2 linked regions of the Sus scrofa genome follow. The protein of the gene in region 2 interacts with the protein of the main gene of each other region in a pairwise test. Links are inferred from orthologs where the notes say so. Each region holds a gene or a part of one and is shown on either strand. Other genes may lie near its edges. The genes, in order: UBTD1 and TRIM39.

The links.
Region 1: the proteins of TRIM39 (region 2) and UBTD1 interact in binary tests that used the Homo sapiens proteins (3 or more experiments, as listed by UniProt). The two-hybrid records come from large-scale screens. The link is inferred for Sus scrofa from reciprocal best matches to the Homo sapiens genes TRIM39 and UBTD1.

The regions. Positions count from the first base shown.
Region 1 is NC_010456.5:108,885,339-108,889,683, reverse strand, and holds the start of UBTD1 (ubiquitin domain-containing protein 1), read right to left. Parts: upstream 2,930-4,345; 5' UTR 2,283-2,929; coding exon 2,213-2,282; intron 1-2,212. Other genes in the region: MMS19 nucleotide excision repair protein homolog, read left to right, coding at 3,144-3,255. UniProt on the Homo sapiens protein: May be involved in the regulation of cellular senescence through a positive feedback loop with TP53. Is a TP53 downstream target gene that increases the stability of TP53 protein by promoting the ubiquitination and degradation of MDM2.
Region 2 is NC_010449.5:23,056,465-23,060,273, forward strand, and holds part of TRIM39 (tripartite motif-containing protein 39), read left to right. Parts: intron 1-1,338; coding exon 1,339-1,569; intron 1,570-2,749; coding exon 2,750-2,772; intron 2,773-3,336; coding exon 3,337-3,452; intron 3,453-3,809.

The sequences.
Region 1 (4,345 bases), on a different chromosome or scaffold from region 2:
CTGAAGATGAACTTGCTCTTGGTGGGCAGCTAACTTCAGCCTGGGAGATAAGTTGGACTTGAGGTGACATGGGACAGGTTTATAAGACCTGCTGAAGGAAGGACTAGCAGGTCCCACTGATTGACTCTTCCAGGACATGGAGGCAAAGAAAATTAGCAGAAAGAGTTCTTCAAAGTGTAATTTTAGGTAGTTGGGAGTTCCTGTTGTGGTTGAGAGGGTTAAGAACCCGACTAGTATCCATGAGGATGTGGGTTCGATCCCTGGCCTCGCTCAGTGGGTTAAGGATCCAGCATTGCTGCAAGCTTGCAAGCTTTGGCACAGGTTGCAGAAGCAGCTTGGATCTGGCATTGCTGTGGCTGTAGCATAGGCCTATAGCTCTGATTCAACCCCTATCCTGGGAACTTCCATATGCCATGGGTATGGCCCTAAAAAATAAAACAAAACAAAGCTTTAGGTAGGGGGAAGAATAGAAGAGTAAGGGGAAGCTGGTTGGGGGGAAAGATGCAGAACTGGTTTTAGAAGTGCTGAATCTGAGGTTAACTACATTGGTGTCCAGTGGGCACCTAGATATCTGAGTCTGGGGTTGGGGAAGCAACAGTTGAAAATACAGCATAGGGGCCTTCCCAACAGACAAAGAGTTGTGGGGCTAAGATTTCTCTGGGAGGGAGCATGATGCGAAAAAGATGGAATGTCAAACTGAACTATGGGTGTGCCCACACTAGGAGTGATGGCTGGCAGGAGTGATCGGAGAAAAAAGCCAAGATAGTCCAATGTCAAGGAGGGAAAAGTCGGGGGGGGGGGGCTTCAAGTGGGAGAGGATTGTCAACAGTTAAAAAAAAAAAAGCTACAAATCAATTACGTGGGCTGAGTACATAAATAATAAGTATTTGTTGAATGAATGAATGAATGAATGAAAGGAAGAAAGCCCTTGGATTTGAGAATCAACTTTCCTGTCAGAAGATTGGCCAGGGTTGCCTTGGGACAAGAGGACTTCAATGCTAAATTGTTCGTTGTCCTCCCTATAAAAACACGTTGCTTCTTGCATAAGTCATCCTGTCCACCACACAGACATCCTTCCCTGCTTCCCCCACGTTTCCCCTCATCTTCCTTCCCAGTTTGCGAAACTCAAGCAACACACACCTTCAGTGTCAAAGGAGACAGGAAACTTCAACTAGAGTTTCTACTTCATTAATAACTCTGCTTATGGCTCCTCTTAAAGGGCTATGTGGCAATTGAGTGGAATAGAAGATGGCCTTCTAATCCCAGCTGTACTACGAATTAGCTGTGCAGCTATCGACAAGTTGCTCAACCTCTCTGGATCTGGGCTTTTAACAGACAAGAGAAGGTAGGTCTATCTGGACTCTAGACAAGTTTCGAAGGTCTCTTTCAGCTCTAAAGTCTACGATTTTATCATTCTCAGAAGTTCCTTGCAACACCCTCAGAGAAGGAAGTGAAGTGAGTACAAGACCCGGGGAAACGACCGCCAGACCTCTTACCCAGGCGAAGCGCCAGGATAGGGGTGTATCCAGAAAGTGAGAAAGCGCTGCCGGCCCTCGAGGATCACCAGAGAGCAGATCCCATTCCTAAGGCTGGGAAGGATCCCAACAACCCGACAGCGATTCCCACCCCGCACCCCACCTTTTCTAGACTCCCAGACGGCCAGGAGGCTCTAAAAAGCCCTGCGGGAAAAATAAAGATTTCTTTCCCAGAGTCCTGCGCTGCTTTTGCAAGTCGGATTCCGGCAGGCACGATCTGCAGCCCGATAATGACACAGTCTTTGGAAGGAGCGCCTGTTCTCATCTCGCTCGCTTCGAGTTCTGGGACGACTGGCCACCCGCGCCGTGCCCCGACGGGCGGGCGTCCGACCCCGGCCCCGCTGCCAGGCCAGCGGCGCCCCGGCCTGGGGCCCTCCTCCCCTCCGCCGGCCCCGCTGCGGTCTGCAAACATTTCCTGCTCCCGCCCCCACCCCCACCCGGAGCTTCCCAGTTGGAGCGAGTTGGGCTCGCAGCCGGGTCAGCGCTCGCAGTTGCCACAAGTCGGCTCCCCCGGCCACTGGGGCCGGGGAAGGGGACCCCCGTCTGCCTCGGAAGCAGCCATCAGGGAAACCTAGGCGCCAGGAGCCGTGGGAGGTAGCTCAGGAAGCCCAGTTCTCGCGCAAGAAGGCGGACAACTGGCTGGGCGCCGGTGGCCCTGCTCCCTTCCCGGTCGTTACCTGCTCGCTTGCGGGGGTGTCCCGGGGCGGTCGGCCTCTCCCGGCGCTGTCTCCCCACACAGTTGCCCATGCTGGCTCTTCAGCCGGGCCCCATGCACCGAAGGCGACGGGATGGTCCGCTGCTCCGCGGTCCTGCCCCGGACGGCGGCGTCCCAGGTCAACGGCTCCGACCGCCCGGCATCGGGCGCTTCCCGATCTCCCCCCTGCGGCGCGCTCTACCCCAGCGCCGGCTTCGCCACAAACTTTGCGGGCAAGGAGAAAGAGGGAGGTGGCCGACTCCCCAACACAGTCCCAGGTGGCCGGGCCAGGGGGGCCCGCGACGGTGCCCGGCTGGAGACCAGCTCCGCTGAAGGGGCGGAGAGAGGGGGCGGGCACCGCCGCTGTTACTCCCGGCTCGCTCGGGGCTCCCAGCTGGGGCCGGCCCCCCGGAGCCTGTCACTCACCTGCCTAACCCCGCCCCAGCCCAGCCCTGCTCCCTGCCGCCGGCTCGCGGTGCCCGCGCCGCCGCCGCCGCCCGCCCCAGGTGCGCATGTGACCGACGGCACCGCCCCCTCGGGCCGGGCCTGGTTTTCTCATTGGTTCCCCCCAGGGTGCGTACCGCCCCTCGGCCCCACCCAGACAGGTGCCCGCCCCGCCGCGGGTCTCCCGGGAAGCTGGGCCGGGAATTATTCGCCCTCAATGGCCCCCGGCTGCGTGCCCAGCAGCCGCCTTCGCTCCCTGAGCCACCGCCCCGACTCCGGGCCCCGCCCCTTGGGGAGGGGCCGTCCCATCCCACCCTGGAACTGCCTGGCCTGGAGCCGGCAGGCACGTGATCCAGGGAGCGCCCCGCCCCCTCAGCCTTCGCCAGGCGATTGGCTCAGGAGGCGCGTGCGCTGAGAGGCCCATCCCGTGCCACCGCCCATTTCCCCTCCCACCGTCTCCAGTTCGCGTCATGGCCGCCGCCACCGCTCTGGAGGCGGTCGCGCCTACGGGCGCCCTGTGGGGCCTCGTGCAAGACTTCGTCATGGGTCAGCAGGAGGGCCCCGCAGACCAAGTGGCTGCAGGTACGGCAGACGGCGCCGCGCGGCTTCCGCTTGGGGGCCTCCAGGAGGGAGCGGCCTCAGCACGGGCGCCGGGCGGGAAGGGAGCGGTGACTTTGAGAGATTGGTCCCGGGCTGGTTGTGAGCACCGCGTGCTTAAGAACCATAACAAATTGCGAGTCGCTTGCAGTCTTCCTTAAAGCGCCCTTATGACCCTCGTTTTGGTTTATAGCCACCCTGTGCACCGGCCTGGGTTAGGAAAATCATTACCATTTCGCAGGTGTGGAAACTGAGGCCCAGAGAGGGCCAGAGGCTTCCTGGGGGAGTTGGGACTTGGACGCAGGTCCTCCAGTTCAGAATCAGGTGCTCACTCCGCGAAAGCACGTTGTTTCGAGGAAGTTGATGTGACGAGAAGCATCTTCGGCAGCATCAGCTCCAGTCGCGTGGCATGTTGGGAGTGGCCGCGCGACCCAATCTCTGACTGGCTGTAATTAATTGGAGAGAGGAGGAGAGAAACCAGCCTAGGGGGAGTTTGAGATGTTCTGCGTATCTCTTCCCCCCATTCTTGTTCAAGTTCTTGATTAATTTGCTTCGTGCCTTTTTTATGTGGTGTGTGTTTTTATATTTTTCCCAGAACTCCAATTTCCTGCTTTTCACCAGTTTAGGGATCTCTTAGTTCTGACAGCTTATCTAAAATTTGAGCGGAGCAAATGACAGATTTCCTTGAAATTCTGAGACTTCACTCTTTTAGAAAAAGAAAAATCTAAAAAGTTATTGAATGTTAGGAGGCCTTCGGACCTTGTGTCTATGTAATAGAATACAAAATAATCTTGTCAGTACAGATAAGTTTTGTCTTTATTTTTGGAAATTGCGCGTGTTTGGGGAGAAGTAAAGGATACATTTCTCTTGAAAAGTGAACACACTTGCTTTTAAAATATGTGGGAAATGAATAAAGTGAACCTGTCAGAAGTATAATACTTTGGGAGTTCCTGGTGGCTCAGGAGGTTAAGGATCTGGTGTTGTCGCTGCCATGGCTTGAGTGTGGCACTGGTTCGATCCCTGGCGGGGGAACTTCCACGTGCTGCCTGCTTAGCCAAAAAAAAAAAAAAAAAGG
Region 2 (3,809 bases):
ATCTCTGAGGTAGTAGTTGTCATGATATTATTGAGTTCTTTTTTTTTTCTTTTTTCTTTTTTATCTTTTTAGGGCCACACCCACAGCATATGTAAGTTCCCTCTAGGGGTCAAATTGGAGCTACAGCTGTCAGCCTGCACCACAACCACAGCAACATAGGATCTGAGCCTCATCTGACCTATACTACAGCCCAGAGCAATGCTGGCTTTCCAACCCACTGAGAGAGACCAAGGATCAAACCTGCATCCTCATGGATACTAGTCAGATTCATTTCTGCTGAGCTACAACAGGAACTCCCTATTATTGAGTTGTTATGTCTTGAATTTTTTTTACTAAAACATAAAAGTACAGTTTTTTTGGAAGTTAATTTAATAAATATATGTATTTTTTAGGGCCATATCCACAATATTTGGGAGTTCCCAAGCTAGGGGTTGAATCAGAGCTGCGGTTGCCAGCCTACACCACAGCCACAGCAACACCAGATCCTTAACCCACTGAGCAAGGCCAAGGATTGAACCCAAAAACTCATGGATGCTAGTGAGGTTTGTAATCTGCTGAGCTACAACGGGAACTCCTCATAAAATTTTTTTTAACCTTTTTTTTTTGGTCTTTTGTCTTTTTAGGGCTGCACCTGTGACACATGGAGGTTCCCAGGCTAGGGGTCTAATTGGAGCTGTTGCTGCCGGCCTACATCAGAGCCACGGCAATGCCATATCCGAACCGCGTCTCTGACCTACACCACAGCTCACAGCAATGCCAGATCCTTAACCCACTGAGCGAGGCCAGGGATCAAACCTGCAACCTCATGGTTCCTAGTCAGATTCATTTTTGCTTTGCTGTACCACAGTGGGAACTCCTCCTTTTTTTTTTTGTCTTTTCTAGGGCTGAACCCTCGGCATATGGAGGTTCCCAGGCTAGGGGCCCAATAGGAGCTGTAGCTGCTGGCCTCCGCCACAGCCACAGCCACGTCAGATTCAGGCCAAGTCTGTGACCAACACCACAGCTCACGGCAATGCCGGATCCTTAACCCAGAGATCGAACCTGCGTCCTCATGGATGCTAGTCGGATCCATTTCCACTGAGCCACGATGAGAACTCCAACATTGGTTTATTTTTTAACTTTCCAAGTGGTCTTCACTCTCAAGTCATCAGTAGGGGAGACAGTGGGGATGGAGCCATTCTTTACAGAAGGAAATTCCAGTGGAGAGAAACATGAGTGTCCTGTTAAGCTCTTTCCAGTGACACTGGAAGTCTGTGTGAATTTATGCACATGGTGGGTGGGAAAGGCACCTATGCCACCCTGGCCCTGTTAAACATAACACCCTCCCCCTGTCCTCAGAGGCTAGTGGAGAGTCGCCGACAGCAGATCCTAAAGGAATTTGAAGAGCTTCATCGGCGGCTGGATGAAGAGCAGCAGGTGTTGCTTTCACGACTGGAGGAGGAGGAACAGGACATTCTTCAGCGCCTCCGAGAAAACGCTGCTCACCTTGGAGATAAGCGCCGGGACCTGGCCCACTTGGCTGCGGAGGTGGAGGGCAAGTGCTTACAGTCGGGCTTCGAGATGCTTAAGGTTCGACCTTTGCCCCTGCATAGCCCCTCAGGCAGAGCGCAGCCTAGCTTTGCACAGGCCCTTCGGCAGGCCTGCAGTGCTCACTCCTCCGCTCTGCCTCTCTAAATTCCAGTTCTGTCCTCCAGACATACTCAAAGGATCTTTCTCTACAGAAAGGCTTCTCTGATTCCTCCCGTCCCCTTCTGATCATTTCTGTGCCCTTACGTCTTGCCAACAATTATGTGCTTCACCTGTACCAAAGAAAAAATTCACTCTTTTGAGAGGAGGGTAGTCTAGTCTGAATTAGTGAAAAAACTATGCATTAAAAATTGTGTAAATGCAGTAACCATTACTTTTAAGTCCTGGAACATGATCTACCTAGTACTCAGAATAGAAACAAAGTTTGAAGGACACTTGAAATAATGTATAAGTAATATATTGCTTTTAATATGTAAATAGTACCTCTAAAATGTTTGAAATAATCTGTTTTCTTAAGCAAATGAATGATGTTTGCAAGGCTGTAGGAAACATATTTCTTATCTTAGAGATCACATTGCCAGCATTTGAATAAGTGAGGCTTCGTTGTACATTTATCTGCATGTTATATATTGCTTGGTATTTATTCTCGTGTCCTTTCATGTATGTGTGTTCTGCCTTCCACATTAAACTGGGAAATCCTTGGGGGGCAGAGATTTGTCTTCTTTGTCTTCTGGACCCCAAGTATTCACAAATCAGGATTGGCGCACAGTTGTTTAATATTTATTAACCAATGCCAGACGAGGGATACAAACCACAATGGGAGAGTGTGATTCGTCCCTGTGCCAGCAGTCTGGAACTATCTGTACTGATCCTCAAGGAGACAGGTGTGTGGTTGGTACTTGGGGGACAGAGTAAAGAGCAGACACAATCCCTGTCCCTAGCATTGAGCTCCCAGTGTCCTTGAAGAGCAAAGACAAACACACAAGAGACTGTGTAGAAGTGATACCAGTTACCAAGCATCATGATGACTGAGAGTTGAAAGTGGGGGGTAGGTCGGGAGAGATGTGCTTGGGTCCCTCTGGAGTTCTTCCTCTTGCATTGTGACCCTTAGTTTGCCTCATGCCTATTTAATAGATCTAAAACGTTTGGGAGGAGGGAACCTTGTGCCTTTAGGACCCTTGACCACCGGGACCAATACTGCTTTCTTTTCTCCTTCCTCTAGGATGTCAAAAGTACCCTGGAAAAGTAAGTGATTCTTGTATCTCTTCGAGTGAGTTAGGTCTTGGCTTCAAGAGTAGGGCTGCAATGAGGAGTTGGGGGAGTATGGATGGGAATATCACGCAGCATCTGGGTAGGATATAGAAGAAGGTTTATTGTGTCCACGGAGCAGAGAGCACATCATCGGGAGTACTAGCCCCTTACCGTTTCCCTTTGACCATCAGGACTTCCTTGTTAAGGTAGATACCAAGATTCTACCTGGGCCTGTGGGTGAAAATGTGTCCAAACAAGATGGAAGGAGGAAAGGGCTTGGGGGAGGGGGGTGATTACCTATTTGCATGAAATATAACAATCCTTTCAAAAAGTTCTAAGACTCATTCACACAATAATGGTCTGTCCAAGGGACCACATGGCTTTCCATAGATGGGCAAAAGAAAGCAACAAGCAAATACTTGTCTTGAGGGAAGAGAAAGAAAGTGGGGGGATGGAGAATTTTAGTTTCTCCCTAGAGATGACAACATCTGAAAACTCACTAAGCTGGAGCTTCCCCTGACCCTGCCCTTTCTTCCCCTATCTCCCCATCCCTCCTAGATGTGAGAAGGTGAAGACCATGGAGGTGACTTCAGTGTCAATAGAGCTGGAAAAGAACTTCAGCAATTTCCCCCGACAGTACTTTGCCCTAAGGAAAATCCTTAAACAGCTAATTGGTGAGTTGTTCCCAAAAGGAAACTAGCAGAGGGAATCAGCAGAGAGAAGAAAGTCTTTAGGTCCTGCTTTCTCTGGGCTTCAGTTATCCCTTCCCTTCTGTCCCTTTTCATGCCCATATCCACACCCACCTGTACTGGGCTTTCAATCTCACTCTGAGTCACAACTCAAAGTGAGAAGCCTCGGACTTCCCTTCGTGGTGCAGCGGAAACAAATCTGACTGGGAACCATGAGGTTACGGGTTCGATCCCTGGCCTCGCTCAGTGGGTTAAGGATCCAGCGTTGCCGTGAGCTGTGGTGTAGGTTGCAGATGCAGCTCAGATCCTGCGTGGCTGTGGCTGTGGTGTAGGCTGGCAGCT